Nothobranchius furzeri: one gene and its partners. The protein of the gene in region 2 purifies or fractionates together with the protein of the main gene of each other region. This does not show direct contact. Links are inferred from orthologs where the notes say so. Each region holds a gene or a part of one and is shown on either strand. Other genes may lie near its edges.

What was found.
Region 1: the proteins of adnpb (region 2) and znf644a purify together in Homo sapiens (affinity purification with mass spectrometry; 3 studies listed by BioGRID and IntAct, with this or other methods). This does not show direct contact. The link is inferred for Nothobranchius furzeri from reciprocal best matches to the Homo sapiens genes ADNP and ZNF644.
Region 3: the proteins of adnpb (region 2) and daxx purify together in Homo sapiens (affinity purification with mass spectrometry; 4 studies listed by BioGRID and IntAct, with this or other methods). This does not show direct contact. The link is inferred for Nothobranchius furzeri from reciprocal best matches to the Homo sapiens genes ADNP and DAXX.
Region 4: the proteins of adnpb (region 2) and cbx3a purify together in Homo sapiens (affinity purification with mass spectrometry; 7 studies listed by BioGRID and IntAct, with this or other methods). This does not show direct contact. The link is inferred for Nothobranchius furzeri from reciprocal best matches to the Homo sapiens genes ADNP and CBX3.

What each region holds. Positions count from the first base shown.
Region 1 is NC_091751.1:71,505,535-71,512,981, forward strand, and holds part of znf644a (zinc finger protein 644a), read right to left. Parts: intron 4,953-7,447; coding exon 4,377-4,952; intron 3,789-4,376; coding exon 3,663-3,788; intron 1-3,662.
Region 2 is NC_091755.1:48,126,755-48,134,661, reverse strand, and holds the start of adnpb (activity-dependent neuroprotector homeobox b), read left to right. Parts: upstream 1-3,063; 5' UTR 3,064-3,270; intron 3,271-7,907. Other genes in the region: dpm1 (dolichol-phosphate mannosyltransferase subunit 1), read left to right, coding at 266-365, 532-565, 640-716, 888-913, 1,059-1,154, 1,244-1,312, 1,402-1,516, 1,629-1,733.
Region 3 is NC_091759.1:22,796,448-22,804,414, forward strand, and holds the start of daxx (death domain-associated protein 6), read left to right. Parts: upstream 1-2,447; 5' UTR 2,448-2,587; intron 2,588-4,517; 5' UTR 4,518-4,535; coding exon 4,536-4,760; intron 4,761-4,950; coding exon 4,951-5,373; intron 5,374-5,511; coding exon 5,512-5,643; intron 5,644-5,729; coding exon 5,730-5,846; intron 5,847-5,922; coding exon 5,923-6,154; intron 6,155-6,246; coding exon 6,247-6,416; intron 6,417-6,583; coding exon 6,584-6,716; intron 6,717-7,155; coding exon 7,156-7,672; intron 7,673-7,967. Other genes in the region: tapbp.1 (TAP binding protein (tapasin), tandem duplicate 1), read left to right, coding at 75-176, 303-331, 413-424. UniProt on the Homo sapiens protein: Transcription corepressor known to repress transcriptional potential of several sumoylated transcription factors. Down-regulates basal and activated transcription.
Region 4 is NC_091751.1:29,400,344-29,408,221, forward strand, and holds cbx3a (chromobox protein homolog 3a), read left to right. Parts: upstream 1-2,722; 5' UTR 2,723-2,871; intron 2,872-2,884; exon of another isoform or gene 2,885-3,202; intron 3,203-3,385; 5' UTR 3,386-3,389; coding exon 3,390-3,532; intron 3,533-3,681; coding exon 3,682-3,838; intron 3,839-3,941; coding exon 3,942-4,036; intron 4,037-4,283; coding exon 4,284-4,410; 3' UTR 4,411-4,771; downstream 4,772-7,878. Other genes in the region: nfe2l3 (nuclear factor erythroid 2-related factor 3), read left to right, coding at 1-263.

The DNA of each region.
Region 1 (7,447 bases), on a different chromosome or scaffold from region 2:
ACCTTTGGATCCACCAAGAGGGTCTCCGAGAACGAGTGAAGTAGACACACAGATTGCGTCTGATGCCTTTTGATAATAATCAACTTCTTAGCTTAACGCAAACCAAAGTCTTCTACACCCAGAACTCAGCTTTCCTAGATACGGAAGTTCTGATAACACCGCATTCACACCTAGGTTCATACATCACATTTAGTTCCATCCATCACAGTAAATGTTAGTTAACTTGTCATGTTAACCATTTACATGAACATACGAGATGATTCTCAGCACATACGTCTGTATACACAGCTGCCATCAGTCACCAGATCTCATACATCTGTCCATCAGAGAGATGTCAGAGACGAAGTCTCAGTGCGTTCAAAATCGATCTAAAGTTATAAACCAGGAGCCTTCGTCCTAGTTTACATGTACAGTAGAAAACCAGCCTCTCAAAGTTAGCGCCAACAAACGCTGGTGGGAGCGAAGCAGATGGAGTTAAAACAGGATATGCACCATGGTTGAAGCAGCACAGCTGATGTGGTGCAGACCGGACTGGACCTAATATCGTCGCCACAAGGTGTTATCAGAAGACCGCTTCCTCGATCTCGTCACTTCTGGAAGTCACCGGGATCAGCTCGCCGGAGCCGTTTACACGCAGAAGAAGTCTGGTTCCTACCACGCCATCTGGGTTTTTCAGCACGATTAGAGCCAGTTCGCCTTGAACCAGACTAACGCGTTTACATGGATGTAAGAAAAACCTGATTTAGGGCAACAATGTGCTTTTCTGGTGCACATGTAAACGCACCAACATGTAAGTAGAGCCATTCTGAATGACTTGAAATGACCTGAGATGTTGTAGTCATGACATTTTTTGATTATTCATTTCAGCCCTAAAATAGACCTTTTAGGACTCACTTATTAATAAAATACGAACATAAAAGATTTAATGTTTTGGTCAACAGCCTTAATCTGCCTGTGAACGCCACATTTCTACATGTATGTTTTACTTCTATAGAGTCCTATGGAAGTGTTTAGTGTAAATACTTAAAGCTACAACAGCAACTTCAACCCTTTTTCATGCCTCTTACCAACGTTCTAACATAGTACAGCAATAAATGTATTGTGGAGGTTAAAGGGGCAGAAAAATGGCGTTAATTTAAATGTAGAAACTAGAGCTGGGCGATATGGCCAAAAAATAAAATAACCGATTTTATTTGCTTGAATTCGATTTCCGATTTTGTCCGATTTTTCTCAGACAGGTTCCAGCAGTCAAGAGCGTCTCTCAGTCCTTTGGCGATAAGTTCACTGGTGTGGTCCTCAGGAAAGTATGACGTTTGGAGGGAAAAACTATGTAAATCCCACGCATTGTTAATGAAATGCACCGTTAAACTCATACACGGCTGCATAGTTCAACTGCTCCACATGTCGCTTGTTGCCAAAAAAAGGACAGCTCCTCCAGTTCTCTGCCAACTTTTTTGCGTGTGTTTCTGTACAGCTGCGGCAAGACTACTTCACTGAAATACTTTCAGCTGGGTAGCTCATACCTGGGATCCAATGTTTTCATCAAATTTATAAACTCCGTCTTCTCCATGGTATATATGGGTACCATGTCTTTTGCTGTATACAAAGCAACCGTGTCGGTGATTGTAGTCCACCGGGCCCCTTTCTTGTCATATGCGGTCCCCTGTGCGAACGATTTGGCTACAGTTAGCAATTTTTTAGCCGCTGGTTCTTGGTCACTGCGGCTTTGTTCGTCTCGGAGAGACTGGCATTTTTCGTGTTTGGCTTGATGCCTCTGTTTTAGGTGTTGAAACAAGTTAGTGGTGCTGCTGCTGCCTTTGATTGCAACGGGTTTTAGACAAAGGTTGCAGCATGGGGTCTCTTGTTTTATGTCTGTTGCAGCAAACCCATACCAGTTCCAAACAACAGATGATTTTATCCCCTTCTTCGGAACAAACTTCCCACTCTCACCGCCATCACCGGTCGCCATGTGGTCGCTTGCTGTCTGTTGTTTTGTGTGTTTTTGCTCGCTCGTGGGTGGGGAACCTGATGCTACGGGACCTCCGGAGGGCCAAAAAGGCGCCATTACAAAAACTCGATTTACCTACTTTATGAATCGCCCGCAACAAAAAATTCGAATTAATTCATTTTATCGATTTTTCGCCCAGCCCTAGTAGAAACTGATCTTTGAGCCTCTATTTGCATAGAACATTTAGTCGGAGCTTAAAATGTCCCTAAAAATAGACAAAACAGGCGTAATAAGACCTGCTTTCCCCCACTCTACCAGTGTGTGTGTGTGTGTGTGTGTGTGTGTTGACTCAAGCCTACAGTAGAAGGGTTTGGAGGAGAGAAAAGTGAAAACTAGGAACCACAGCCTTTATAATATAAATAAATAAAATAGTACGTTATAAACGTACAGGCATATAACGGACAGGTCTACTGAGAAAGACTGTAAAAATGAACCCTTTAGGGCCAAAGTGGCAATATTGTGACCAGCATCATTGCTGGGTTTAACGAGTCACAGAGGCTAATCTAATGGCTCATGGGTCGCCGCCACAGTTACGATGGTGTTGGGATGAAAAGGGAGAAATGGGAGTTGGGGGTGGGGCTTGTTTCATTCTGCTTGTTCTGGATTGAAAGCTAAAGGAGCTGAGAAGAGAAGTCTGTAACGAGCCGTTTTGTTGGATTAATGTAATAAATTATCTTCCAGAATAAAACAGCTGGTGTGTTCCTGTTGACATTTTCCCATCTGGAGACTCCCGACCCAGGACAGCAGACAAGCGGAGCACACAGAAGACAAATATTATTTATTAAAGTGGAAAAAGTTGCAATGCTGACGGGTCTGTTCACTGTTGACTAGGGATGGGTACCTTTGACATTTGAATGGATTCTGTACTAACTCCCGGTACCCAGGAATCGATACCGGTACTTAACGGTGCCAATTTTAGATACTTGTGAGTGTTTTATTTTAATTCTCTTTTATAATTAAATATATATTTTCTCAATATATAACCATATTTGATAAATATCACGATAAATAACATACAACTGTTTGTATTTTAACATAGACTGTGGATCTATCTGGCATTTATTTGTACTCTGGATTTTTCAAGTATATCCTGAAACCTTCGTGGTGAGTAGTGTTTTTCTCTCTTGCAACAAAGCTGTAGCTAGCTGAGGCTAACAGCTAGCTGGTGCTAACTAGGGTTGGGAATAAAAACTGGTTCTTGTTGAAAACCGGTTCCTATCGTTTCAATTCCTAGGAATCGTTCGGCACTTTTGCAAACGTGCCCCTTATCAATTCCAGTCTGCGCGAATGACATCACCGTGCACGTTGCGTAGCTTACGGAAGCAGGAAACATGGCGTCTACGCGGCACAAATGCTCGAAAGTTTGGTTATACTTTACACGAAAGCATAACAACAGGGTAACTTGCAATAATTGCAGAGTGGATTTTTCATCTAGGTAAAAAGCCTTTGGGCACAAAATACGCGATAACGTAGAGTTAATGACGTGTTTAGACCCGCTCCGAGCTAGGAATTTCAACGCAGCACACCATGGTTTCCATCCATGGCCACAGAAACACCAACAGCTCGGCTGGTGGCCTGTTTGTTGCTTGGCTGACGTGTTAAAGGCTACACCCTTACAGTAGAAAGGCCTACTAGTGTTGGTGACAATACTTACTGGTTCCCTCTTGTAAGGCGATCCTTTTTCTTTTTGCATATGCCCGGAGGTGATTGGAGAGGGCAACTCCGCTGTGGAAAGTTGCATTGCAATGAATGCACATCTTCCTGTTGAATTCACCCTTTTCTGCAAAAAAAGACACAAAATGTAATAACATTTTCCTAAGTACATTACATTGATCTTAGGACATGACTAAGATCTGAGCATAGCTGAAGCCAGTCTACATATCTCTGAACTGCAAAAAACGTTCAGGAGTTCGACCATTCATCTATCGTTGATGAGTGTCTGTGCAAAAACTTAAATCTGCAATGACAGTTTTTGTGCAATCTTCTCAAATTTTACCACAGCAATTACTTTAATCACTATACAATCATAGACATATCGTTGCACGAAGCCAATTAACTGATGTTTGATATAAAAATGTTGTGTTGACGTAATTTCAAAACCTGCATTGAAAATGAGCTCGTCTAAAACAACAAAATTAAAAAATTGCTAAATTATCATTAAAGTTGATGTGATGTATTGAAATATTTAATAATGAATTGGCAGTGCATAAAAATAAAGTCAACGCTAAATGTTCCAAACCTTACCTGTGTGATTCAAGAGAATCAAATAAGTGTAAGAACATAGCTTCTGTTAGAAAATAACGTCGACAACATCAGGGAATTCCTTTGAAGGAATTCTGCCTTTTACCTTTCTGAGGACGTTGCTTACCAGATGGAGAGTTTGGCAGTGATCCTGAACTGTGCTCACTATTTGAAGAAACCGTTGACTCATTTCTTGAGATCGGAGTTGATCCTTTTAGTCTGGCGTCTTCTTGACACTTCCTTTTTTTCAGAATCCCTATTAAGGCAGTTGTGCCTGAGAGAGAATTTTTAACACCCATCTTCTCCAACTGCCCATTTTCAGACTTAATGTCAGATAAAGTAAATGTGGGCATCAGTGGTTTGGTGTCCGTGAGAACACTTGGGATGGAATGACTTTTGGGGAATCTGGTCTGAGAAGAGGTGAAGCGATTAGTGATGGGCAGCTTTGGTGAAGCACCATAATGAAAATGGTTTCGTCTTCTTCCCAGAATCTGAAGGGCTTGTTGAAATTCCTTTTTGTCTCGCATCAACTCATGCAGTAAAATGATTGGGGATTTGCTCTTTGAAGCAAAATTTTTCCCAAGCTTTTTCAGATGACCTCTTATATGGTTAGACTGCCCCGTCCTGTTATCGAACGCATCCCCACAGAGCGGACAAGTGTGGAGGTCAGTCACAGTCTCCGAATCTGACTCTAGCTGTAGTGCTGGAGGAAAGAACAAACACACACACACACACACACACACACACACACACACACACACACACACACACACACAAAATTACAGTGTATACTTGTCATGAATACCACCTCACAGCCATGTTATTAATACTTGTTCTGTGCTTGGTTCAGTTACAAAAATGAGGATAAAGGTCTTAAAATCAGCTAAACTGTTAAAAATAACAACACCAAATATTGAACAGCTTTATATCCAATCCCCATTGTAGAATGTTGGGATACCTCTTACAGGTGGAGCACCTTCCTGGTGACCATAGACAAGTCTGGCTTGATCTACCAGTAATGATTCGGCCATCAAGAACCAAAGAACATCTCATTAAAGAGCAAGTCACCCCCCTACCATAGTCTTACTGCACCCACACTGCCTGTTTGAAAAATGCACCACAAGGAGGTGTTTCCTGGTGTACCAGGAGGGCAGAATTGCGACAGTGAGTGACGAGGACTGCTACGCTCACTCCATGCTCAGTGAAACTGCATTGGAGAACGGAACCACTAATAAGCACGCACAAACATTCAATCTGCTTAGATGGAGATGCTAACGCACACACACACACACACACACACACACACACACACACACACACACACACACACACACACACCTCACAAGTAGAGCTAACACACACAAATACACATGACTCAGACGAAATAAAGGCAGCACTTCCTAGAAACTGATAGGGACACTAGCTCCTTTGCCTCAAAGCAGTCACCAGAGGGAGGCTTTATGAAGAGATGAGTGACCCTGAGCCATATCGTTTTGAACATATGGCTCATGAGTTTCCCAAGGCTACTGGTACCAAGCTGTAAAACAGGTGTGCTTGAAGAATGGACATTGTAAACAGGCATGACAGGGGGCACTGAGGACCAGGGTTGAGAACCCTGACCTAGCCAATAGCAATGGCTGTTTCAAATTACATGAAGTGTGCCGTTTCAACCTGAATAGGGTGCCTTTTAACTTTTAAATAAGATGTACTAAAATGCAAAAACAATTACACATCTACTACAGCACTATTAGACACTCAACTATAACATTTGTTGGCAAAAAAGGTTGATTTAGGGTTGACTTGCTTGTTAAGTCATACTCTTGGTTGAAGACCTACTATTTATTGGGTAACTAGTTTTTAATCATGCATTTATTCTAATAGTTTGTAAAGCAAATTCTGTCACCCAGGACTGGGTTGCTGGATGTTTAATTTGCTTATTTTAAAGAGAGGGTTGATTAAGTTGATCTACATTCCAACCACCACCTCTTAGTAACGACTTATTTATATCCATCCATCCATACATCCATTTTCTACCGCTTACCCAGAGTTGGGTCATGGGGGCAGCAGTGCAAGTCAAGAGGCCCAGACTTCCCTCTCCGCAGCTACTTGGACCAGCTCTTCTGGGAGAATCCCAAGGCGTTCCCTGGCTAGGTGAGAGACATAGTCCCTCCACCGCGTCCTGGGTCTACCTTTAGGCCTCCTCCCAGTTGGACGTGCCTGGAAAACCTCACCAGGGAGGCGTCCAGGAGGCATCCTGACCAGATGCTCAAGCCACCTCAGCTGGCTCCTCTCGATGTGGAGGAGCAGCGGGTCTACTCCGAGCCGATGGATGACCGAGCTTCTCACCCTATCTCTAAGGGAGAGCCCAGCCACTCAATTCAATTCAGTTTATTTATAAAGCGCCAAACCACGACAAGAGTCGTCTCAAGGACCTTCACACAGTAAACATTTCAATACAGGCCAGTTCATTAAGCCAACCAGTAAAAAGTTTCCTTCATAAGGAACCCAGCAGGTTGCATCGAGTCACTGACTAGTGTCAGACTCTTTACAGCAATCCTCATACTAAGCAAGCATGCAGCGACAGTGGAGAGGAAAACTCCCTTTTAACAGGAAGAAACCTCCAGAGGATCCTGGCTCAGTATAAGCAGCCATCCTCCACGACTCACTGGGGATCGAGAAGACAGAGCGCGCGCACCTAAACTGGCCTCTCTAAATGTGAAGGAGCAGCAGACCTACTTCAAGCCCCTCCCAGATGACCTCTAAGGGAGAGCCTAGACACCCTGCGGAGAAAACTCATTTTGGCTGATTGTATCTGGGATCTCATTCATTCAGCCACTACCCAAAGCTCATGACCATAAGTGAGGGTTGAAACGTAGATCCACCAGTAAATCAAGAGCTTTGCCTTCCGGCTTAGCTCTCTTTTCACCATGACAGATCGGTACAATGCTCGCATCTAGGGCTGAAACGATTCCTCGAGTACCTCGAATAATTCGAGAACAAAAAAGCCTCGAATCAAATTCTCTGCCTCGAGGCTTCGTTTAACTCATGTTTAATTCATGGCTTTGCAATCGCCCGGGGTCATGTTTCACTCGGACTGAAATAAGTGACGCACATACACACTGCACTGAATGCACATGCAAATGTAACTTAACTTTCTCTTAAGCCATGGCGGACGACGTGGACCCCGGTGGAGTGCGA
Region 2 (7,907 bases):
TACATATATATGTATGTGTATATATATGTATATGTGTGTGTAACAGTTAATTGCGTCTTTAAAAGGTAACTTGAACGGATTCATCTCTTGTGATTACATTCCTAAAACGTTTGTGAAATAATATTTAATGTTTTTAATAAATGAATTAATAAATTGATAAATGAAAAATAATTTTTGTCATTTTAAGTGAAATAGTTTTTTATATGTCTAAAGATTGATTTACAGTAATCTCTGTCGGCATGATAGTAATGCTTATTTCTCACAGTGGATATGACTATGAGATTATTATCATTGATGACGGAAGCCCAGATGGGACACTGGAGGTTGCAGAGCAGTTGCAGAAAATTTACGGAAAGGACAAAATAGTAAGTTAAGACTGATCTCTCAGCATGAACAAGATAAATTCACATTAAAGTTGCACCACATATACTGTGTAAAATAATTAAAAAGTAATTTGTTTGTTTTTTTTATCACAAAACTTTACAGTGATAATCAACAGTCATTAATTGTTAAATCCTTCTAATTTTTCAGGTTCTGCGACCAAGGGAGAAAAAATTAGGCCTTGGTAAGTTGGTAAAATTATTGCATTTCCTTTATAAACATTACCAGTGGATGTAATCATCCCTTCATGTTTTAAAGGCACAGCCTACATCCATGGCATGAAGCATGCCACTGGGAACTTCATCATCATCATGGATGCAGATCTTTCCCATCACGTGAGTCGATGCACGAGTGTATTTGATGTATAAAATATCTTAGAAACAAGACATCTTTTGAGTATCTTGTCTGGAAAAACACAAATGGCTAGTAAAGTCCAATTGAGTATTTATTTATTTATTTATTTTGTTGCACTGCTGTGTATTTTATTCGTCTTTATTTTATTTCAGCCCAAGTTTATTCCTGAATTTATTGAGTAAGTATAATTGTTTTTTATGTTATGAGTTGGTGCGTTTATAAAGACTCGCAACATTTCTGATTATCAGGGTAACTTTCATCCATGTGTGACGAGTCGGATTATTCTAGCATGTTTTAGGTAAAGTATCGTATTTCATTCACAGAAAGCAGAAGGAAGGTGGTTATGACCTTGTGTCTGGTACTCGCTATCAGGGCAATGGAGGTGTCTACGGCTGGGACCTGCGCAGGAAACTCATCAGGTAACGGCCAGTGAGCAGAACTTGGTCACCAGTGTCCGCTCTCCTACGCTCGATGAAAACGAGATTTGTTTTTCTCTCCTGTGTCTTAGTCGAGGTGCTAACTTTTTGACTCAGGTTTTGTTGAGACCCGGCGCTTCGGACCTCACGGGCAGCTTCAGGTAACTGATGCAAGAGGTTTGAATCGTCATTGACTAGAAAACTGAACCGTTTCCTCACTTTTGTGCTTTTTTCCCTACGCTTTTGGAAGGTTATACAAGAAAAATGTGCTGGAGAGTCTGGTGGAGCGGTGTGTGTCTAAAGGTTACGTGTTCCAGATGGAGATGATCGTCCGAGCCAGACAGCTCAACTACACAATTGGAGAGGTGTTGACCTACCACGCTGTTGGGTTCTTTGAATATTTGTACTTTGTATGAGTTCTTCTCAACGTTTCCGCTGAAATTAAACTAAGGTTTATTTTCTCCTCGTCGTTCGCAGGTTCCTATTTCCTTTGTGGATCGGGTTTATGGAGAGTCAAAACTGGGAGGGAATGAGATCGTGTCATTTGTGAGAGGACTGCTCACACTCTTCGCCACGACGTGATCAGCGATGTTCAGAGCTTCTGGGAGCTTTTTTTTTTCCTCGTTCCACAAGTTTGTCTTTAAAACAGAAGTTTCACCAAATTAAAAACAAGAGAGAGACGTTCACCACTTTCTGTAATCATACGGTGACAGGACAACACAGGAGAAGGAAGGTGTTAGCAGTTAAAACTGTGGAAGATGTTCTTTTCTGTAGTTTTCAGAATGCTGAAGAAATGGTGATTCCCAAGTCTTGTCAATCCCATCGCAGAATGTTTCTGGAATTCTTTATTATTACAGTTTGCAAATGCATAAAAATAAACACGTTTTAATTGTAGACTCTTGTTTGTTTATTTTTAATTGATCCAATGGAAATTGTATGCGAATTTAAATGAACTCTTGACTTAAGAAACAGAAACCTGAGACTGATCACACCTGCCATATCCAAAAATTAGAAATTGACTCCATTTATATACTTGTAAGACTTTTAATGTCGGCATACATCAAATACCCAAAAATATCACGGACATGTCTGGATTATCCAGGAAGAAACACTTAAAGGATCTAAGATCTTTGGGAATCCACGTCTGCTATTAAAGGAAACATGCTAAAAGCTGTAGTTTAGAACATAATCTGGGTTTTTGTGTGAGAAGATGTCTGTATTTTTCATTTAATTGGAAACAAACCCTAGACACTTGTATTAAAACATTTTAGAAGAAAAAGTTCATCAGTAACCATCAAATAAGAGGTTTTATAATAACTAGAAATGCAGAGTCCGGTCCCACCTTACAGGAAAGTAGTCCCGGCTGAATGGATGGAGGTATCACAGCGCCACCTAGTGTTGGCCCGGCCTCCAGCTGCGTGCTGAGGCACTGTGCACATCCGAGCCTCCGCAGGGGAGGAGCTACCAGGACGCCCGCTACCGGACCGTAAACGTAACTGCTGCGCCTGGTTGTTTACCCCCGCAGAGAGAGACAGGAAATCAATACCGTCCACAAACTTTAAGACAACGGAGGCATTTATTATTTTAAGCAGATGTTTGCCTAAATGTTCGAACTGATTGGCAAACCAATCATGAGAGCGAGGACCTGGTCTTATTATTTATGCTAATGAGGAATATGTCACTTCCGCTTCTTTGATTTGCGCCATTTTGGATAGGGCAGCTGGTTGGCTGGATGTGTATTGTCTGTCGGGAGAGAACGGGTAAAAAGGAACCCGCTGTTAGAGAATTACGATCAGAGTTGAATTAATTAATTCACCAGAGTGTAAAGTACGTCGGTAGTTGACATGTGTCTACCTTCACCGCTCCAGGAAACGGAGGTTTTAATCGCCCGCCGAAGCTCTCTCTTTCCGTTCTCCGACCACGGGAAAGCGGATAGCCCTCGTCGCTGAGGGGCTGTCGGGCTGGGAAGGTAGACCGACGGCCCGGGTGACTTCTCCCCCACAAAGCACCTGGGAGGGAATTACCGACATATCCGTGCAAGCGGGAGCGTGAATACTCGACCTCGGTCATCCTGAGGTGACACATTTAATTCAGACGGGAGCACTGGATGTAAAAGCAGGTAAACCTGGATGTCCTAATGCCGGGGAGAGTCCACAGATGGTGGCCGCTTGCCGCTGCCTACCTGCGGGACGGGATGGGTGGTGGTGGCTAGTGTTAGTGTGTCGGGGTGGTAAACAAGTTTCATTCTTAAATTAAACGCATCGTGATGTTATTGAAGAACCAAGAGAAAATGCGACAGCTTTCGTTTCAACCCATGTTGTTGGGTGTTAGCTTAGCATGTTAGCTCAGCGCGGCACCACCATCCCTCCTTTGTCAGTTGCAGCAGCTTTTTGCTTTTAACTATCTGGATTCTGTCAGCTGTCTTGGATATTTAACTCATCACGAACACCACGGATGGTCCACAGTTTGTTCTGTTCGTTGCTACAGCGACCGATCTGTCCTGTGGTTATTATGGGATTGTAGGAGAGTGACCACATTAGTGTAAACAGTTTGGTTTTGAACCCGATTGTGAGGAAGTGTTTATGAGGGAGTCCTGGTTGTCTGTGATTAGACAGGTGAGTTCAGGTGTGTGCCTCTAAAGGGGAGCAGTGCTGCCATGGTCACCCTCAGACATCCTGTCACCTTTAATACCGTTTACAGGTGTTGAGCCGTGTGGTGAAACCTCATCAGAGGCATTTAAGACTATTATTCTTCTATTAAAGCGAACATGGATGTCACAAGAAGTGTGACCTCTTAGTAAACGTGGAGGAATGGTAAACATGAGGGTTGAGAACATTGGTTATCACATCCTGTTGGATTATTCGGCAGCATTTAAAGATTTCAAGGCCTCTTTTCTTTCTCTTTAGCACCACTGCAGAATGGGAAACATGTTCTCTGCCAGCAGCCATCGCCACAGCAGAGCAGCCTCTTCCTGCATTTCCTCCCAGTCCTCTTCCTTCTCTCCCTCCTTTCCCTCCTACTCAGCCTCTCCCTGGCTATCTATTCTCCCCTCCCCTGCTCTGCATCGCCCTCTCTTTCTCTCACCCTCTTCCATTTTCTGTCCCTCCAGCCTCCCAGTCCTCCCTTCCCCTCTCCTCTCTGTGTGCCTGACCTCCCTGCCTCCCCCCCCCTCCCCTTACCTCCCTGGCTCACCCCCCCCCCCCCATCTCTCCCCTTGCACTCCTTCTACACTTACCCGCTCACTCCCCCTTCTCTTCCTCCATGCACACTCCCCCCCCCATGATTTCTTTCTCTCACTCCTTCTCTCCCTCCTCTTCCTCTCCCTTCCAACATCACTCTCTCCTCCACTCCCCTCCCCCTCTGCTGCAGACATATTGTAGGGGCTGCTGCTTACTCAATAGGAGGCGCCATTCTGTGATGGTGTTGCAAGGCTGGGAGAAAAGGGGCCAGGCAGAACGTAGGGAGGCTTACATAATGGGAGTCCTCTGCTGCACCATCTACAAGAAAGGGAGGGAAGCAGGAGAAAGGCAGGTAGGGGAGAGGTGGGTCGTTGACTTTTAGGATGCAGGTGGGTCAGCCAGGCAGGTGATGGACCCACAAAAGCATCTATATCTCATTTCCTCAGATTCCTCAAGGGGTAACGAGCTGAGATGTTAACAGGAATTGTTGGAAATGTAGATTGTTGTCCTAGTGTACCAGTGACCTTTGACCTTCCTGCATGAAGCTTTGATTTGAACAGAGCTTGTTTCTTGAGCAATAGAACTAAAACATTTAGCTGAGTCTGGCAAATTTAACAATCTCATTTATACAGATGTTAAAGCATCCTAGAGTTGATCTTGTTGAACATTGGGAGCTAGGGGGATCGGATGCACCATTCCTAAAGTCTGTGCCGTCTCCGACCTGCTTTTTATGTAACGATCAATAGTCATAGACAAACCAACTGAAACTTGCATGTCCCAACCCACCTCAACGTCAGCAGTTTACAAATGTTGGTAGTTAGAATGCTAACCACACAACAACACTAGCCCGAACTACTGCTAACATCCTTGTTGAACGTGAGGAAGACATCCAGGCGTAACGTTCTAGGGTGGACTGGGGTTATCCAGACTACCCCTGAATGCTTATAGAATTATCCATATGATGTAGCATCATTGAGACATCAAGGTCAACTGACCAATCAGTGCTCTGCTTGGTCTTCCTGTTGTAGGGCTTCATTAAGGGGGTGTGGCTGGTCATTTATCAGGGCTCTTGGGTCATTGTGAGCCCCAACAAAGTTTCATTTAAAATGGTTTGTTTGGCTGTTGGCCTGTTCCAGCAGAACTCATAAAAGACGTTGATTCCATTGATTGGATCAGCTGTTGTTGGACTTGAACTTTCTGGTCCGTACCAATTTTTTTTTCTCTTAGTAGGAACAAAAGTCAGTCATCACGGTTGAGATTTAATGTACAACAAATACTTTACATTAGGGCTGCACGATATTAGGAAAACCTGCGATATTCGATAACCGTGCTTAATATTGCGATATCGATATTACTCACGATAAATGAACAAATACTAAAGTATGCAGTGCTGATGTCGTCTGGCGTGTGACGTCTGCTCTGGGTTCAAAGCAAACAAAAACTAATGCATGAATTCCATTACAACATAACATTTTTATTGCAAAACTATGCAGCTGCACCTGCTGCTGTATTAGCAGCTGCACCCGCTACTGTATTAGCAGCTGCACCCGCTACTGTATTAGCAGCTGCACCTGCTACTGTATTAGCAGCTGCAGCTGCTACTGTATTAGCAGCTGCACCCGCTACTGTATTAGCAGCTGCACCCGCTACTGTATTAGCAGCTGCACCCGCTACTGTATTAGCAGCTGCACCCGCTACTGTATTAGCAGCTGCACCCGCTACTGTATTAGCAGCTGCACCCGCTACTGTATTAGCAGCTGCACCAGCTACTGTATTAGCAGCTGCACCCGCTACTGTATTAGCAGCTGCACCCGCTACTGTATTAGCAGCTGCACCCGCTACTGTATTAGCAGCTGCACCAGCTACTGTATTAGCAGCTGCACCCGCTACTGTATTAGCAGCTGCACCCGCTACTGTATTAGCAGCTGCACCAGCTACTGTATTAGCAGCTGCACCCGCTACTGTATTAGCAGCTGCACCTGCTACTGTATTAGCAGCTGCACCCGCTACTGTATAAGCAGCTGCACCCGCTACTGTATTAGCAGCTGCACCCGCTACTGTATTAGCAGCTGCACCCGCTACTGTATAAGCAGCTGCACCCGCTACTGTATAAGCAGCTGCACCCGCTACTGTATTAGCAGCTGCACCCGCTACTGTATTAGCAGCTGCACCCGCTACTGTATTAGCAGCTGCACCAGCTACTGTATTAGCAGCAAAACAACAAACTGCATGCATGCAGTTTCTCAGTGACTTTAAAACATCACCTCCACTATAAAACTTTTTCTGATGCTCCAAATACAGAAAAACGTTCCTTACCAGGGTTTTTGGAATAAATAAAGATATTAGAAAATAAGTTTAAATGTTAAATAATAGTTAACATCACTTAAATGCAACAGCAAATTCTCTCATTGCTACTGAGCATTTTCTCCACTTATGTGGTTATGATATAAGGCTGTTGCTGTAATTGGGAAGTGAACTGTGCTGGGCCAAACTAGGAGAATATTAAGATTTTCTGAGGGAAAGAGAAAAACAATTGTCTACCTTTCAGAAGAGGAACTGGCAAGAATCTACATGGAAAATATTTGAAAACGTTTGTTTTTAACCCCAAATTGAACAAGTTTACCTAGATCTTAAAAAGCAGTGAAGTGTAGCGCCAGTGCCCTATACACTGGCACTACCTGGTAGCTGTTGCGGGTGGTCTTTACGTGTGCTTTAAGCTAAAAGCAGCCCTGATGATGAAACTGCAACTATGATTCTGATAACAAGCTAACAAACTGAGCTAGCTCCTCTAAGATAACCGGCTAGCAGAGCTTCTGACTGACAGTTTATGTGCAGCAGCAAATCAACTATCCTGATTAACAAGGTTATAAAAGCTCATAAATGAAAAATCACTTTGATGTGTGGGGGAACTTTTCCAGGCCCTCTTTAGCAGGGTGGGACTGGGAGGAGAGTGCTGTAGCCTTTTAGCTGGAAGCTAACCGGAGCCTGGGGCTAACATCACCACCCGGTGGAACACTAGCGACGTGAAGGTGGGTTGGTTCACCGGCACGTGTCGGAGTCAGCCCGGTTATTATCAGCTGCTTAACGACACCGAGCGAACTCACGTTCACGTTTGAAAGCAGCGCTGATTCCAGAAACCTCAGCACAAAGTGCGTTTGTTAATCTGAGCCAGCATGACGAACAAGGGAACGGCGCCTCTAACTCAGTTCGGGTGTTGCTTTCCATCCTAAGGTCTACGTAGGGGGTGGGCGTATTACGTAAACGGACCTATCTGATTGGCCGCATATCAGAAGGGCTCCATTTGATTGGTCAAATAATAATTCAGCGTAAAAAAACAGAGCTGGTTTACAAAAAGGTGATGTATGACACGGATGGAAATGTTGAACCAAACATTTATCGCCATTTTTGACGTGCTTTGCGATGGGCCTATCGCACGTCCTGTTATTCCGATGACGATAATTTTTCGATATTTGTGCAGCCCTACTGAACATGTTGTACTTTTGAGAATGTCTCTGCTCCCTCTAGTCAGTCTGTGAAGTTGTTGGCATTATTAGATTTTTTTATCCAAATGAAATCT
Region 3 (7,967 bases), on a different chromosome or scaffold from region 2:
ACAGCAGAATCAGTTTTGATGTCTGAATGAATCAGGAAACGAAAGTAATTTAGGCGTTAATCTGTTCCCCTCAGGGTTCAGCTCTCCCTCCATTGAGGACTCTATGGCGATGGTGGGCGTGGCTCTGGTTCTCTACGGACTCATCAAGTTTGTGTCCTGGACCCTTACTGGATCAGGTGGGAATAATATAGATTATTAAATACAGGAATTTAATCCCTTAAGGCTGCAAAAATCATCTTTTAGCTCTTTAAATCCAGTTTTTGTATTTTTGCCTGACTTTTGTGTCCTTTTTTATTATTTAGGCTCAGATAAAACAGATGGACAGGACAAGGTAAGGAGCGTCGGGTTTGAAACTAAAACATCTTCACTTTTTGTTTTAATGTTTATAACTTTTCCCTCTTTTTCCTCACAGAAGCAGAAATAAAGTTAACAGAAGACGACTGGATTTAAGTTTTCCGTGACTTCTCTGCAGCTTTTCAGCTTAAAGCTCGGATAAATATTCTGTTCCTTCAGCCAGCGTGGTGATGAGTCTAAACGTGGATCAGCTGGATTTTTCACTGTTTTGTGTTGCAGATGAATCCGGGAGAATTCCCTGGAATTATCCTGTTTTATGTAAATACCGACGTGACGGTTTCACGTTAAAAGTGACAAAGCTCTTTTATAAATAAAATTATCTTTTATTTAATGATTTTGTTACAAATTGAAAAAACTTCTTAGAAGCTTTTATTAAAGAGCAAGTCACCCCCTACCAGAGCATTGCTCCACTCCCACTTCCTGTTTGAAAAATGCAACAAATGCTGTTGCCTAGCAGACCGAGAGGGCGGAGCCACTAATAAAATACACACACAGGCTCACAATGACATTGTGACATCATATGGTACCAGCTAACATTCTTGGGTACCTCTTAGCCAATAGTGATGGCAGATTTAAATTCAAATGCAGTGCAGAGTTTTTACCTGACAACGGCACAACACTGACGGTTTTAGGCAGAAAATTAAAATTTGAACTAAAATGCACTAAAGTGCAAATTTATTGACTACACGTGTCTGCAGCATGATTAGACACGCATTTATATAGTTTATCAGGGGAAAAAAGTTGATTTGGGGGTGACTTGCTCTTTAAGTTTAAAATAATGTAGTTTTTAATATCATTTTCATTTTAAACATGTTAAAACGATTTAATTATTATTTTTGTTCTGAACTTAATACCAGAAAAAAATATTTATTTGGACAAGAAATCTCAATTTATTGGAGACAGTAAAATTAATTTAAAATTCTCCATAACTTCTAATGAAATGTGACTTTTGTAAGTCTGAAAAGTCTTTTGTGTATAATTCTGCATAGTTATGAGTCAGGGGTTGTGTTGGTGGAAACTTCACTAAAATAAAGACTTTTATGGGGAACAAGCATCTAATTCTGATCTTTGTGAAGAAAAAAAATCCATTTTAGTAGCAATTCACATAGATAGAAGATATGAAATTTGTTTTTTTCAATATGATAAACTTGTGGGATTAGGAATGATCCAATAGGCATATTTGTGATAAATTAGTATTTATGTTAATTATAGGAATTGTGATTGTAGTTTTAATTTTATGTAAATAACTTTAAGTGAGTTTAGAAATTTAAAACACCAATTTAGTTCATCTGATTAAAGATGTTTTACCTCAATAAAACCTTCTAGGAGATGAATTGTGCCAACTAGAAAAGTAAATTCAATAACAAACAAGTACCATTAGAATTAATGGCGCCACTGATATTTAATAATATAAACCAACACTTCTGGAATATTTCAACAAATTAAAAAGCAGTGTAGCCTTTAAAAACACATAAATTAGTTTGTTGTGCATCTCCTGCAGAATTGTTTAAACAGCAGCTGCCTTGTGTCAGAGCCTGACTAGAATGTTTGCATAAATTTAAGGAAGTTTTGCACAAGCTGACACAAATATGTTTGTAGCTGAAAATAAACACCACAGACATTTCAGTTGAGACATTCAGGACTAAAACATTTAATGAGAAAGATGTAATTAAAATTCTGCAGGAAATTCTGCATGAAAAGCAAGTTTTGGTCTCTGTTGTCATCTGCTTTATAATTTGTAGAAATATTCCACTTAAACGCTTGCATTTATTTTAACTTGTAGAAATTCGGCGTGGAAAACAAACTTCTTGGAGACCTCTATCGTCATACATGTTTCCAGCAGGTGGCGGTAAAAAAAAAGTTAACCAGAAAATAAACCAGAGAAAAAGACACATTCCTTTTGTCCAATGACAGAAGGCTTTACTCATCCCAACGTGTCTTTTGACCAACCAGAGTCAACTACGTGCGTCGGAGTTTAGCGGGTCGCGAGTTAACAATTTAGCTAAGTCTAGAAGCTTTTTGTGAGTAAACAGGAAGCCTCATTGGGTTAAAACTAGAATTAAACAATAGTTTATTTTGTTTATTATCCAAAACAAACAGACTAAGACCAATTTTCGTGTTAACCATAAAAATAAACATGATTACTTGTTGCTAATGCTAACATCAGCTAACCAGCTGCGTTGTAACCCGCAAATGTTCTTTATTTTCTCATCGAACTGCTCTTAAACAAGAGGTAAGTGTTTTTGGTATTTGTGGTCAACTGTCTGTAGCTCTTATCTATTTTAACACAAGATCAGAATTATCTCAGGTTTACTGGCGTTTCAGTTTCGTTTCTGTCCTTTAAAGCTAATAATTTCGCGGGAATGTAAGTTAACGTGTTTAACAACATGTGCTTTGATGTTTTAGTTAACAGCGACAGTGTTTTACTATTAAAGCAAAGCACAGAAAAATGTTGTTATTAAAAGCTAATTCTCGTTTCCTAAGAGGTCCTTAATTAGAAATGTTTGTTTCTACTAAAATAATCCCAAATAATCCAATACTTTATAATAAATTATTCTTTAAAGCATTTATGTATTATGATTGGGTTAGGGTGATTATGTTTTAACATCTACATTTAGGCTAAATATGACATCAACATTATTTCTACACACAAACGTTTGAAATCTTTGGAATGTCTAATTTTATTTTAATGTTTTCAAAATGCCTGAGAGTGAAACTGAAATGGACATAATCTACTTTTATGAGACATACAAGTATTTTGTTTTGATGTAATGTTTATGAATATTTAAATCACTACTGTAAGATGCTGGGAAGTTAGAGATACATTAATTGAATTATGACTAAATATAAATATTATTATTAATAATCATAGGGAAAGGGTGGCTTGCCAACTCCGGGTCGGGGGAGAGGTCCTACCTCAAGTGGAGGAGTTTAAGTATCTCGGGGTCTTGTTCACGAGTGAGGGTAGGAGGGATCGGGAGATCGACAGGCGGATTGGTTCGGCATCTGCAGTGATGCGGACGCTGAGCCGATCTGTCGTGGTGAAGAGGGAGCTGAGCCAGAAAGCCAGGCTCTCGATTTACCGGTCGATCTACGTCCCAATCCTCACCTATGGTCATGAGCTTTGGGTAATGACCGAAAGAACGAGATCACGGATACAAGCGGCCGAAATGAGTTTCCTCCGTAGGGTGGCCGGGCTCAGCCTTAGAGATAGGGTGAGGAGCTCGGACATTCGGGAGGGACTCGGAGTAGAACCGCTGCTCCTCCGGATCGAAAGGAGCCAGCTGAGGTGGCTTGGGCATCTGGTCAGGATGTCTCCTGGACGCCTCCCTGGGGAGGTGTTTCAGGCACGTCCTGCTGGCAGGAGACCCCCGGGTCGACCCAGGACACGTTGGAGAGTTTACATCTCTAATCTGGTCCGGGAACGCCTTGGGGTCCTGCCAGAGGAGCTGGTGGAGGCGGCTGGAGAGAGGACGGTCTGGAGCTCCCTAGTTGGGATGCTGCCCTCGCGACCCGGATAAGCGGAGGAAGACGACAACAAATAATCGTTATTTTACTGAATTAAAAACCTTGTAAAAGTTCTGAGATGTTTTATCTGCTCTTTAGTCTGAAGTCTGTTTATAAACCAAAAAACCTTCAGCAAACCTTATTTACACAATTACATAAATATATTTTATTTATCTGTTTATAAATAATTTGAACATTTTCTGAGTCAGAGCTGACAAATCCAGTCTTCTGATCAACACGAGTGAAGTAGATCCTCTATATGTGGCTTGTTGTGAGATGCTGCAGCTGTTGTTGTTGTTTACGTTTTCACTCACATCCCAGAATGCAATGCAAGTCTGATAACAGGAGGGTGTGGGCCTCAAAGCTGCAACCTTTTGAGGCCACCTCCTTCATCGGGTCTCAGAACTACACTTTTGTTTTGCACCCTAAAGAGAGCTGCACCAAGCAAGGAAGCGGACCAGCGTTGAATATAAACAGCCGAAACGTCACACGTTCTCTTAAATATGCTAAAAGGGTTTAAATCACCAGAGATATTAACAAACGACCTCCATACAACTCTAGAGGTTTACAGAGAACTCTGTCACTTCCTAACCGTTATCGATGATAAACTCGCCGCTCTGCTGATCTCCTTCATCTCGTTTGGGTTTTATAAACAGAAACAAGCTGAACTTGGGATGGCGGTGGCTCCTGCCTCATTGGCAGATCAGATCATTGTGCTTGAAGATGATGAACCTGCGTGTTCCTCTGCCACCTCCTCCTCCTCCAAGCGACAAACCAGTAACGTCTCTCCAGCCCGCCGTCAGCAGCAGGCTCCCACACACATCGTCCACTCTCCTTTTGCTTCCAACAGGAAGAGCGTAAACGCTCTGCAGGCAGAGAACCAGAAGCTGTTCAGTGTGGTGAGTTTATATATATATATATATATATATATATATATATATATATATATATGTATATATATATATATATATATATATATATATATATATATATATGTATATATATATATATATATGTATATAGTTTTATTCTCTAACAAAACCAGATTCACCAAACGCTTCATCAGGTTCCTTTCTGCCTTTTCTCCAGTTTTTGGAGCACTGCACGTCTCTCACTAAGGACTGCCCAGAGGTCTTAACCTTCCTCCAGACCAAGCACGCCAAGGCCAGCGCTGAGTTCCTGTCCTCCGTGGAGTTCAGGAACACGCTGGGACGATGTCTGACCCGCGCTCAGGCCAACAGCTCCAAAACATTCGTCTACATTAATGAACTGTGCACCGTGCTCAAGCAGCACAGCGTCAAGAAGAGGCCGGCCCTCAGCCAGGCGGAGCCTTCTGCATCGACGTCGGGTGCCACCCGGTCTGCTCCCGATTCACTCCAGAGTAAAACTAAAGTGGAGGAGGAGGAGGAGGGGAAACCAGCCGCAGAACGAGCCTCGACGTCAGGAGGTCAGGAGGTCAAGGAGGAGAGTGAAGAAGCGCAGCGGAAGGCTAAGAGAGCGTTAAGGAAACAGGTGAGTGTTTATCTCTGAAGGCTTTAATCCTGCTTGTTTGAACTTTTTCTCACTTATTTGCAGTAAAATGAGCCGAAAAGCTGATTTCCTTTCAGCAGAACCCCCCCCCCTTATGGTTTTACTCGCTCTGATTTCCAGATCGCACACCTGGAGAACCTGCTGAAGTCGTACAACGATGAGATCAGCCGGCTGCAGCAGGCCGAGCTGACTTTAGACGACATGGAGACGGAAGACTCCACGTACATCCAGGAGCACAAACTCAAGCGGAAGGTCGGCTGAGCGGCAGATTAAACCCGGAACGTTGCATCTCCGGTGGGACGACGGGTGACTTTTTTTTTTTTAACGTCTGTTTCCAGATGATGAAGATTTACGAGAAGCTGTGTGAGCTGAAGGGCTGCAACACGCTGACGGGGCGAGTGATCGAGCAGAAGATCAAGTTCAACACGACTCGCTTCCCTGAGATCAACCGGAAGGTGAGTTCTTCTCTTTCGGTGTCATTCCAGCGGGTGGATTAGCGTTTACGTAGGATGTGTTCCTGCTTCCTGTCAGATCGAGCGCTTCATCAACAGTCCCGAGGCTCGTAGCAACCCTCCGGATTATCACGACATCCGGCAGCTGGTGGTGCGCGTCAACGAGCGCCACAACCTGTGTTTGAACCGGAAACAGGTGAGTCAGATCGCCCAGGAGGCCTTCAGGGACACGGGCAGCCTCCTGCAGGAGCGGAGACACCTCGACCTCGTCTACAACTTCGGCTCGCGTCTCACCGACGCCTACAAGCCCGGTGAGGCTCCAGCTCCGCGTTCACGCTGAATACTTTCATTCATTCATCCATGTTTGTGCCTAATCCTCTCATCTCTCCTCCTCCGGTGGAAGCTGACGACCCGGCTCTGTCCGACCTGTCTCTGCTGAAGAAGCTACGGTCCAACAGGGAAGTGGCTTTGTCTCGTCTGGATGATGTCATCAAAAAGTACGCCGTGAAACAGGACGACACAGAGGAGCAGGAGAGAATCCGGAGACTGGAGAAAAACGGGAAAGAGAAAGAGGTGAAGGAAAAATCCCGGCGCATCAGCGAGGCGGAATGTTCCCTTCCTGCTGGTCCGGAATGCTGTTTTATATACCTTTTTATCCGAGGATAAAACAGGAAGCATCAAAACAGTTCCAGGAGTTAACATCTGCGCTCCGACTCTACTTCTTTTACTTCCATGATCAGAAACCAGAAGAAGGAAAACAGACGAGTCAGGCGAACGGCGTGGAGGAGGAGGAGGAGGACGAGGAGGAGGATGAATCATCAGACCCTGACATAGAGGAGGAGATCCAGGCCAGCACTCAGCAGGCTGCCGCAGGTCAGATTAAATCTGGGATTAAAACTGTTTGTGAGATTTCTCAGATTTGATGTAAACTCGACTCGGTTCCTGTCATGGATTTATCAATGTGTGTGTGTGTGTGTGTGTGTGTGTGTGTGTGTGTGTGTGTGTGTGTGTGTGTGAGTTCTGGACGAGTGGGCATGCAGAGAGGCACAGAGCGATACATTTACATTCAGTTGGTTGAGTCCATGATCAAGAATTAATAGACATGAATTTTTCCATAACAGTTCCAAACGGGAGATTATAATCTGCTGACCCGTGGAGAGGTCACGACCCGGTGTCGTTAATCCAGATTAGCTCGGTTTAAAGATTAAATCATCAAAATTAGAAGTTCTGACACCAGTAAGAAGCTCCAGTCCAACCAGCACAAACTGGTTTGTTTTTATTTTAATCTTAACTTTACTGATGTTTCCTTTAGATGACGATGAGGAGGAGGAAGAGGAGGAGAATGCTAACGAGGCAGGTCAGTCATGCGAGGACGACAAGGAGGATCAGACGTACGAGCAGACAGGAAGTGCTCCAGCAGGCGGCGATGGAAGCCCGAGGGCTGAGATGGAGCCGCTCACCAGCGAAAGTCCCGTCTCTGAGGAAACACAGATGTCCAGCGTCCCGTCTCCCAGAGACAGCCCCGGCCAATCAGAGCTCGTTCAGTCGGACACTCGGCAGACGTTGTCCAACGGGACAACAGCAAACTTAAAGAAGCTCGCCGCGTCGAATCAGCTGTCGGTGGTGATCATAAAAGAAAACCAGGTGAATAATAAGAAGTTGGCCGTCCCAGCAGCCGTTAACGGGGATCCTTCACCTGAGCGAGGAACACCGAAGACCAGCGAGTCTCCGCCCCCCAGCCCCAGAACCACGAGGAGCCAGAAGAGGAAACGAGAGGAAAACATGGCCGAGACTCCCAGAAACCTGAGACTAAAAATCAGTTACGACAGGTGAGTGGAGCGCTCACACACACACACACACACACACACACACACACACACAAACTCACACACATACACACACACACACATGCACGTGCATGCACCCTCACATGCACACACACGCACTCACACACACACACACACATGCACGTGCATGCACCCACACACACACACACATGCACGTGCATGCACCCACACACACACATGCACGTGCATGCACCCACACACACACACATGCACACACACATACACACACGCACACAAACTCACAAACATACACACACACACACACACACACATGCAC
Region 4 (7,878 bases), on a different chromosome or scaffold from region 2:
TGCAGGCTCGGAGGGAACGACTGCTGAGAGAGAAACAGCTTACAGCTAAGACCATGGGGGCTGTGGGCCAACAGATAAAGCAGTTGACCAGAGATGTTCTGGCTCGGCTCAGGGATGGGTCAGGACAGCCCCTGAGCCCAGACAGATTTACCCTGCAGTGTGGCGCTAACGGGAGGTTTGTGGTTCAGCCCATCAGACGTCCAGCCGTCTCCACATCAGCAGGCAACAAAACAAACAAGAGGAAAAAAGGGAAGAAGCAGTGATGTTTCGTTTCCTGCTGAGACTTGAGCTTTTAGAGGCTTTTTTTGATATTCCCGAACTTGACTGACTCTGGGTTTGGGGTTCTTTTTTTGTAGGTGGTGTGTGTGTGTGTGTGTGTGTGTGTGCGTGCGTGCGTGCGTGCGTGCGTGTGTGTGCGTGCGTGCGTGTGTGTGTGTGCGTGCGTGCGTGCGTGTGTGTGTGCGTGCGTGTTTATTCACCACTGCCATAAGCCTTCACTATCAGAAGCTGCAAAAACAAAACAACACTCTGAACACAAATGAATAATTCGATAGAATATCTGTAAATATTGAGACATTAGTAGTGGGCACACTGGACTTTGTGTTTATTAAAGCTGGCAGCAGAACCAGCCCCTCTCTGGGCCGGGCCTGATAACGTAAAACTATCACCTTTACTGGGTATGGGTCCGAGGGGTTTTGTGTGTAAATTTGCCTTTTTAAGTCTTTTGAGGAGAACTAGGAAGTTGAAGATTATATTTATTCTGGTTTGAAAGGTTTTTGAAGTGTTTTCATTTTGACGAAGACTGTTTCCTTCTCTTTTTTTTTCAAAATGGAAAAGTAAAATTTAAGTAAATCTAATGTTTACAGGGGCGTTTAAGGTAACTGTGTGTAATGTTATTTATTTAGGCTAAAACTGGAAAAAATAATAAAGATTTGTCTTTCTCATAGTTGCCAGGGGTGACATGCCAAATACCAATGATTACAATGAAGAGGCTTTATTTTGTAACGTTGTATTTGGTTCGAAAATAATCCACACACGAATGCTTTAAGACACTATTGATGCAGATTTTAATAACAAATAGATGGTTTTGACTTAAATCCTTCATAGTTCGAGTTTCAGCATGCTATGCTCAGAAATCAGTTTTTGATGATGTTCAGCTAAAAATGAACCAAAGCGGTGGTCCCAGCTTTGTTGAATGTTGTTTTATATGCAGCGTGCTTCTGTAAGGTTTGCTGAGTTAAATAGAACAATTCTAAAACGGTCTCACGCAACTTCTTTTGTTTGATTTCCAGTTTACAGGGATGACTTTCTGTGATTTTTGGCTCCAGTTTCATCTAAAATGGATTTTCTTTCTCAGTGAGATTGTGTGAGGTATTCTAATCAGTTTTTTTCTTGTTTATAATTGTTTTATAATCTCTTTACTCCTAAAATACACCCAAAATGATACATAAGGTTGTATCTATGTTACAAAGACCCATTCTGGAAAACATAATTTCTCACTTTTCCCATAAAGATGCTTCTAAATGGCACAAAAAGGCAAACTTTACTCATCTGCTGACCCTTTTGTGCTTTACTTAAGTCAGCTGATCTGACATGAATCCCCTCACATCTACTAAAGCACAACCTCACCTAAAAATAACTTTAGAACAGAAGAAATCCCCTGTCATGCAAAATATGTTATCCACTCGCTACACAAACAAGAATGATTGTTGTCTGTTTATATGTTTGGGATTATTAGAGAATGCAATATGACAGGCTGAGTGTTTGATTACACTAGGGCAGGGGTGTCCAATCCTGGTCCTCGAGGGCCGTTATCCAGCACGTTTTTCGTTTTAACCTGCTTCAGCACACCTGATTTCAATCAGCAGGTGATTAACAGGCTTCTGCAGAGCCTGATGAGCTGCTGCACAGGTGATTCAACCAGCTAATCAAGCATTTTGAAGCAGAAAAACCACAAAACCTGCTGGTTACTGGCTCTCCAGGACCAGGATTGGACTCCCCTGCACTAGGGAGTGTATAAACTTAATTGTGATCCAAAGATCATGTTTTCTCTTTGTCCTGGTTTAAACGTTTATTTGTGTGCATTTCACTTTCATACATCTTGTTTTTTCATGCATGAGTCACATTTGTCTGTCTGTTTGCGGTGATTATTGAAAAGATAAATCTGATTGAAGAATACTTGATTTCTTTATTAAAAACATTTAAATAATGTCTTGTTTTGTCTGGCTAACAGGTTATATATACCATTACTGTTATGGTGCTGCGTGCTGGTGAGCATATCAACATTATTTTCCTCACCTGAGCTGAACACCTGTGTTGACCGGCATCATTTCAGGACAGAAGGCAGACAGATTTATTAAAATATGGCTGTAAAGCATATTTAACAAATACTCGTTCAAAATCACAAGCCAGTCATTTACGGTATTCAGTAGAAAGTAAAAGAAATTGTTTCACTCAGTCTGAGAACAATCTAAACAACTTGAGACATCAGGTGCTCAATTTAATCTGAATTCAGCATTAGCATTATGACTTTGGGGTCAATTTGTTAAATTTTTCATTTTTGAACAATCTGAAAAAGAAAATGATTGCTAGTGTTTATGCTTTATTCCTTCCACTACTTTATAGTTTAAAACATATATAAACGTTTTCATTTACTACCAACGTGTCTCAGATTGCGTTAACTAGCGGCTTGAAGCCTTGGTTCATGAAAAGGGCCCTTCTGGAACACATGGGTCAGCTCGGCTGCAGACGAATCGCTTTTCCTTCTGGGCTTCCGTAGCCACAACTAGTTTTTGGCGCCGCCTTCGTTGTGGGATCGACTTCATCCGAGCGGCGTGGTGCTGAACAACTATAGAAATCCGCGCGCTTTGGGTGAGTGTGCGGAGTTCTTCTCTTTTAAAACAATGTTGAGTATTTCTTTAATTACATCAGGCTACTCTGAGCGTGTTAAAACGCCACCTATACGTTGCTGGTTTTTTGACAAACAGCAGTTTAGTTGTTGACCCAGCAGCGTTAGCATCGCCATTGTTTAGCTATTACTGTAATATGTTAAGCTAGCTGAAAGTAAGGCAAGTAAGGTGTTGTTTTGTGGGGATGTGTTGTAGTTTTACCACAGTTTTTATTTTATCTTTTACAATTCTACTAATTCTGTTGCTCAAATAAAATCCGCAGATGAGACTGTTTAAAATCAAGGAAATTTTAGGTAAGGGGTCAGCGTGTTAGCAACCTTTGTTACGTTTAGCTGCTAAATGCTGAGCTAACTAGCAGGTGGGCCAAATTAGAGTAATGTCCTATGTTAGCGTTGGCTGAGTTATTTGTAGCCTAGCATCCGGGTGGATTTAAGGCCTTCCGAATAAATGCGGCTCGTCTTTTTATCTTTAAAAAGCAAAATGGGCAAGAAACAGAATACAAAGCCTAAGAAGGAGACCGAGACCCAGGAGGAGCCTGAAGAATTTGTTGTGGAGAAAGTGTTGGACCAGCGGATCGTCAACGGGAAAGTAGAGTTCTACCTGAAGTGGAAAGGCTTCACAGAGTGAGTTACCCGGGACAATGTCCTGCTCTCTCCGCCTCTAACGCACCGTGGCTGCATGAAGCCTCCCAGCTTTTCCCTTTTAACACGTTTGGGATGTTTTTGGTTTGAACGCTAACCTGTTTTTTTTTTTTTTTTTTTTGCTCCCTCAGAGCGGACAACACCTGGGAACCCGAGGATAACCTGGACTGCCCCGAGCTCATTCAGGCCTTTCTGGATTCCCAGAAGAATATAAAGGAGAAGCCGGCTGCAGTGAAGAGGAAGGCCTCCACAGATGATGCAGAAGAGGAACCCAAGAAGAAAGATGTGGTTAGATTATACGTTTTTTATGTCTCTGACCTGCTAGCATGATTCCCTGTAGGTTGTGCAATCAGAATATGGTTTATAACCTGTTTTTGTTTTTATTTGACAGCCTGATAAGCCTCGCGGCTTTGCCAGGAACCTGGAGCCAGAGCGAATCATTGGTGCCACAGACAGCAGCGGGGAGCTGATGTTCTTGATGAAGTGGTGAGTTAGGCAGACTTTACACCCAATTTCAACAAGAGTAGTTTCACATTTACCTCGGTTGCTTTGCATGGCCATTAGTGTTTTTTTAGGGAGTCGAACTAAAAGCGGAAAAGGTTTATTACAAACATGTAGAGTATTTAGAAATAAAATCACTTGAATATATATAATTTATTTCTTTGATTTTTAAATAGGCTTTTCTAAGATCTGCTGTTTTATTTTAGTTTTTATTTATTTTTTTGTCCCCCAGGAAAGAGTCAGATGAAGCAGACTTGGTCCCTGCTCGTGAGGCCAACACGCGCTGCCCTCAGGTGGTCATATCCTTCTATGAGGAGCGGCTGACGTGGCATTCCTGTCCAGAGGATGAGGCTCAGTAGCCTTTGCCTGGATTCTGCACACCTTTATGTTTTAGGTTTTTATTGTGTTCTCTGTTCTGCTTTTTTTTTTCTTCTTTAGCTACTTTAGCTGATTTGAGACAAAATCATTTGTATGGCAGTTGGGGTATTGTAGATTAAAAGTTTGTCAAAGCAGGTGACTGGGTTGGATATAAGATTAGTCAAAAAGCGATAATGTCAGTCCACATTCCAATTTGTTTATTTTTTTTACTTGAGTCTATGTCAACCTTTTTGAGTTCAGTTAAATGTTTTGTTCCTTGATGCAAGTGCCGACGTGTTTGAAATGAACGCTTTGTTTACAGTTTGTAAATATAAAGTTCAAATAAAGGTTTTATGTGGCCTAGTTTTACCCTCTTCATTTGTAGTTTAGGACAAATGCATACAGAAAAAAGAAAACCTAAATGTTGCTTTATTAAAAGTGTCACAGCCAGCTGAGTGGTTCTGTCAGGGTATCAATCCTTGGCCTACATCAGAATGTTATTTTGGCAGCAGCATTCTGATCTCCTTAGAGGAACAGTGGTGAGATATTTATCCAAGGAGGACCATGAATGTCCACACCTGTCTGGAGCTCTATCAGCTGCTCATTCTGTTCTGCACTTGGTGTAAATGAGGCTTCAGTCTGCTGGTTCTCAGTAATGGATAATGGTTGGTTTCTTCTATAACCACTTGTAAAGACACATTATGGAGTTTATTTTAAAAGTAACTGGTCACATGTTAACAGCTATTTGCCTGTCGGAGATGTTAAACTTCCAAAAAAGCCTGGAACAGCTGGCAGGAAGTGTTGATGAATGGAAACATTTAAAGGAGACTAAAATCAGTCCAACCATAGTTTTACCTGTCATTTGATCATTGCATCTCACCTAATGATGCTCACACTAAAAAGGTAGAGATCGAAGACTTGGCTTTATCACCTGTAGTAGACTCATGGATGGTGACGTAACCTAAAACTTCATATTTATGTCCAACCGTGTGGTGATTGGTAATTCAAATCTGAATTCAGGTGTCTATATTGGTGGTTTTTATTGAACGAATGGGGGATAAAGTTGCATTGACGTTTCTGACTAAACAACATCCAGTTTCACCCCTCTGGCCTTTACCTACTGATAAAGTAACACAAGATAGGAGACGTCAGCGTAAAGGAGCAGTTATTAGCTGATTTACTTAAAATCTCATCACACCACTTGTGTTCAGATGGGCTCCTGGGCTGGACAGAAATAAACTTTGCTTAGGTAAGATGACTTTCACTTGTTTGTATCTGGGGTCCAGGCTGCAGCATGTTGTTTACAGGAATTTATCATTAATGGCTGACGTCTTGTACAAGCTGAGATCAGAAAATTAAAGTTTCTTTGATTTGACTAACAACAAAAACTTCTGTGTTAAAATGATCAATATTTTCTGTGCTGACGCTGGATGTAAAGATCCCCTTTTAACTAGTGTTCTCTATAAGATTCCACATAAACCCTCATGCTTGGCTCAGGATAAGATAAGAACAACTTTATTTATCCCGAGGGAAATTCTTGTGTCATGTACATGCTCAAAGCAGTCGGAGACAAAGGAACAGGTGAAACAGAAATATGATATACAATATATACATTAAAAAAATGATCTACAGTAGTACCATGTAGGATAGTGCAAAACAAACAATCGCATATCTCAATTAAATACATGACTGCATCCTTGTGAATAAGCAATTAAGCCGTTGGTGCAGGCGATTCACAAAAGTGATTATTGTGATCCTCCCATAAAACAACTTTATTAATTACCATTTTAAATTCTAATGAGGTTGTGTGTGTGTGTGTGTGTGTATATATATATATATACATACATATATCATCATTGTCGTCTTCCTCCGCTCATCCGGGTCGCGGGGACAGCATCCCAACTAGGGAGTTCCAGACTGTCCTCTCCCCAGCCACCTCCACCAGCTCCTCCGGCAGGACCCCAAGGCGTTCCCGGACCAGATTGGAGATGTAACCTCTCCAACGTGTCCTGGGTCAACCCGGGGGCCTCCTGCCGGCAGGACATGCCCGAAACACCTCCCCAGGGAGGCGTCCAGGAGGCATCCTGACCAGATGCCCAAACCACCTCAACTGACTCCTTTCGATCCGGAGGAGCAGCGGTTCTACTCCGAGTCCCTCCCAAATGTCCGAGCTCCTCACCCTATCTCTAAGGCTGAGCCCGGCCACCCTACAGAGGAAACTCATTTCGGCCGCTTGTATCCGCGATCTCGTTCTTTCGGTCATTACCCAAAGCTCATGACCATAGATGAGGACTGGGACGTAGATCAACCGGTAAATCGAGAGACTGGCTTTCTGGCTCAGCTCCCTCTTCACCATGACAAACCGGCTCAGCGTCCGCATCACTGCAGACGCCGAACCAATCCGCCTGTTGATCTCCAAATCCCTCCTACCCTCACTCGTGAATAAGACCCCGAGATTCTTAAACTCCTCCACTTGAGGTAGAACCTCTCCCGACCCGGAGTTGGCAAGCCACCCTTTCCCGGTCGAGAACCAGGTCTCAGATTTGGAGGTGCTGATCCTCATCCCAGCCGCTTCACACTCAGCCGCGAACCTACCCAGCAAGAGCTGAAGGTCAGAGCTGGATGAAGCTAGGAGGACCACATCATCCGCAAAAAGCAGAGACGAGATTCTCCTGCCACCAAGCTCGACACACTCCACACCACGGCTGCGCCTAGAAATTCTGTCCATAAAGGTAATGAACAGAACCGTTAACAAAGGGCAGCCCTGGCGGAGTCCAACCCTCACCGGGAACAGGTCTGACTTACTACCGGCTATGCGGACCAAACTCACGCTCCTCTGGTAAAGGGACTGAATGGCCCTTAACAACAGGCCACCCACCCCATACTCCTGGAGCGTCCCCCACTGGGTGCCTCTGGGGACACGGTCATAAGCCTTCTCCAAATCCACAAAACACATGTGGATTGGTTGGGCAAACTCCCGTGCCCCCTCCATCACCCTTGCAAGGGTATAGAGCTGGTCCACAGTTCCACGGCCAGGACGAAAACCAAATTGCTCCTCCTCAATCTGAGATTCAACTATCGATCGGACCCTCCTCTCCAGTACCTTGGAGTAGACCTTTCCAGGGAGGTTGAGGAGTGTGATCCCCCCTATAGTTGGAACACACCCTCAGGTCACCCTTCTTAAAGATGGGGACCACCACCCCGGTCTGCCACTCCACAGGAACTGCCCCCGATGACCATGCAATGTTGCAGAGAGGTGTCAACCACGACAGCCCTACCACATCCATAGCCTTGATATACCCAGGACGAATCTCATCAATCCCTGGGGCTCCGCCGCTGTGTAGTTGTTTGACTACCTCAGCAACTTCTGCCCCCGAGATTGGACAGTCCGTTCCCAGGTCTCCTGGTTCTGGCTCCTCCTCGGAATGTGCGTAGGAGAGATTAAGGAGCTCCTCGAAGTATTCCTTCCA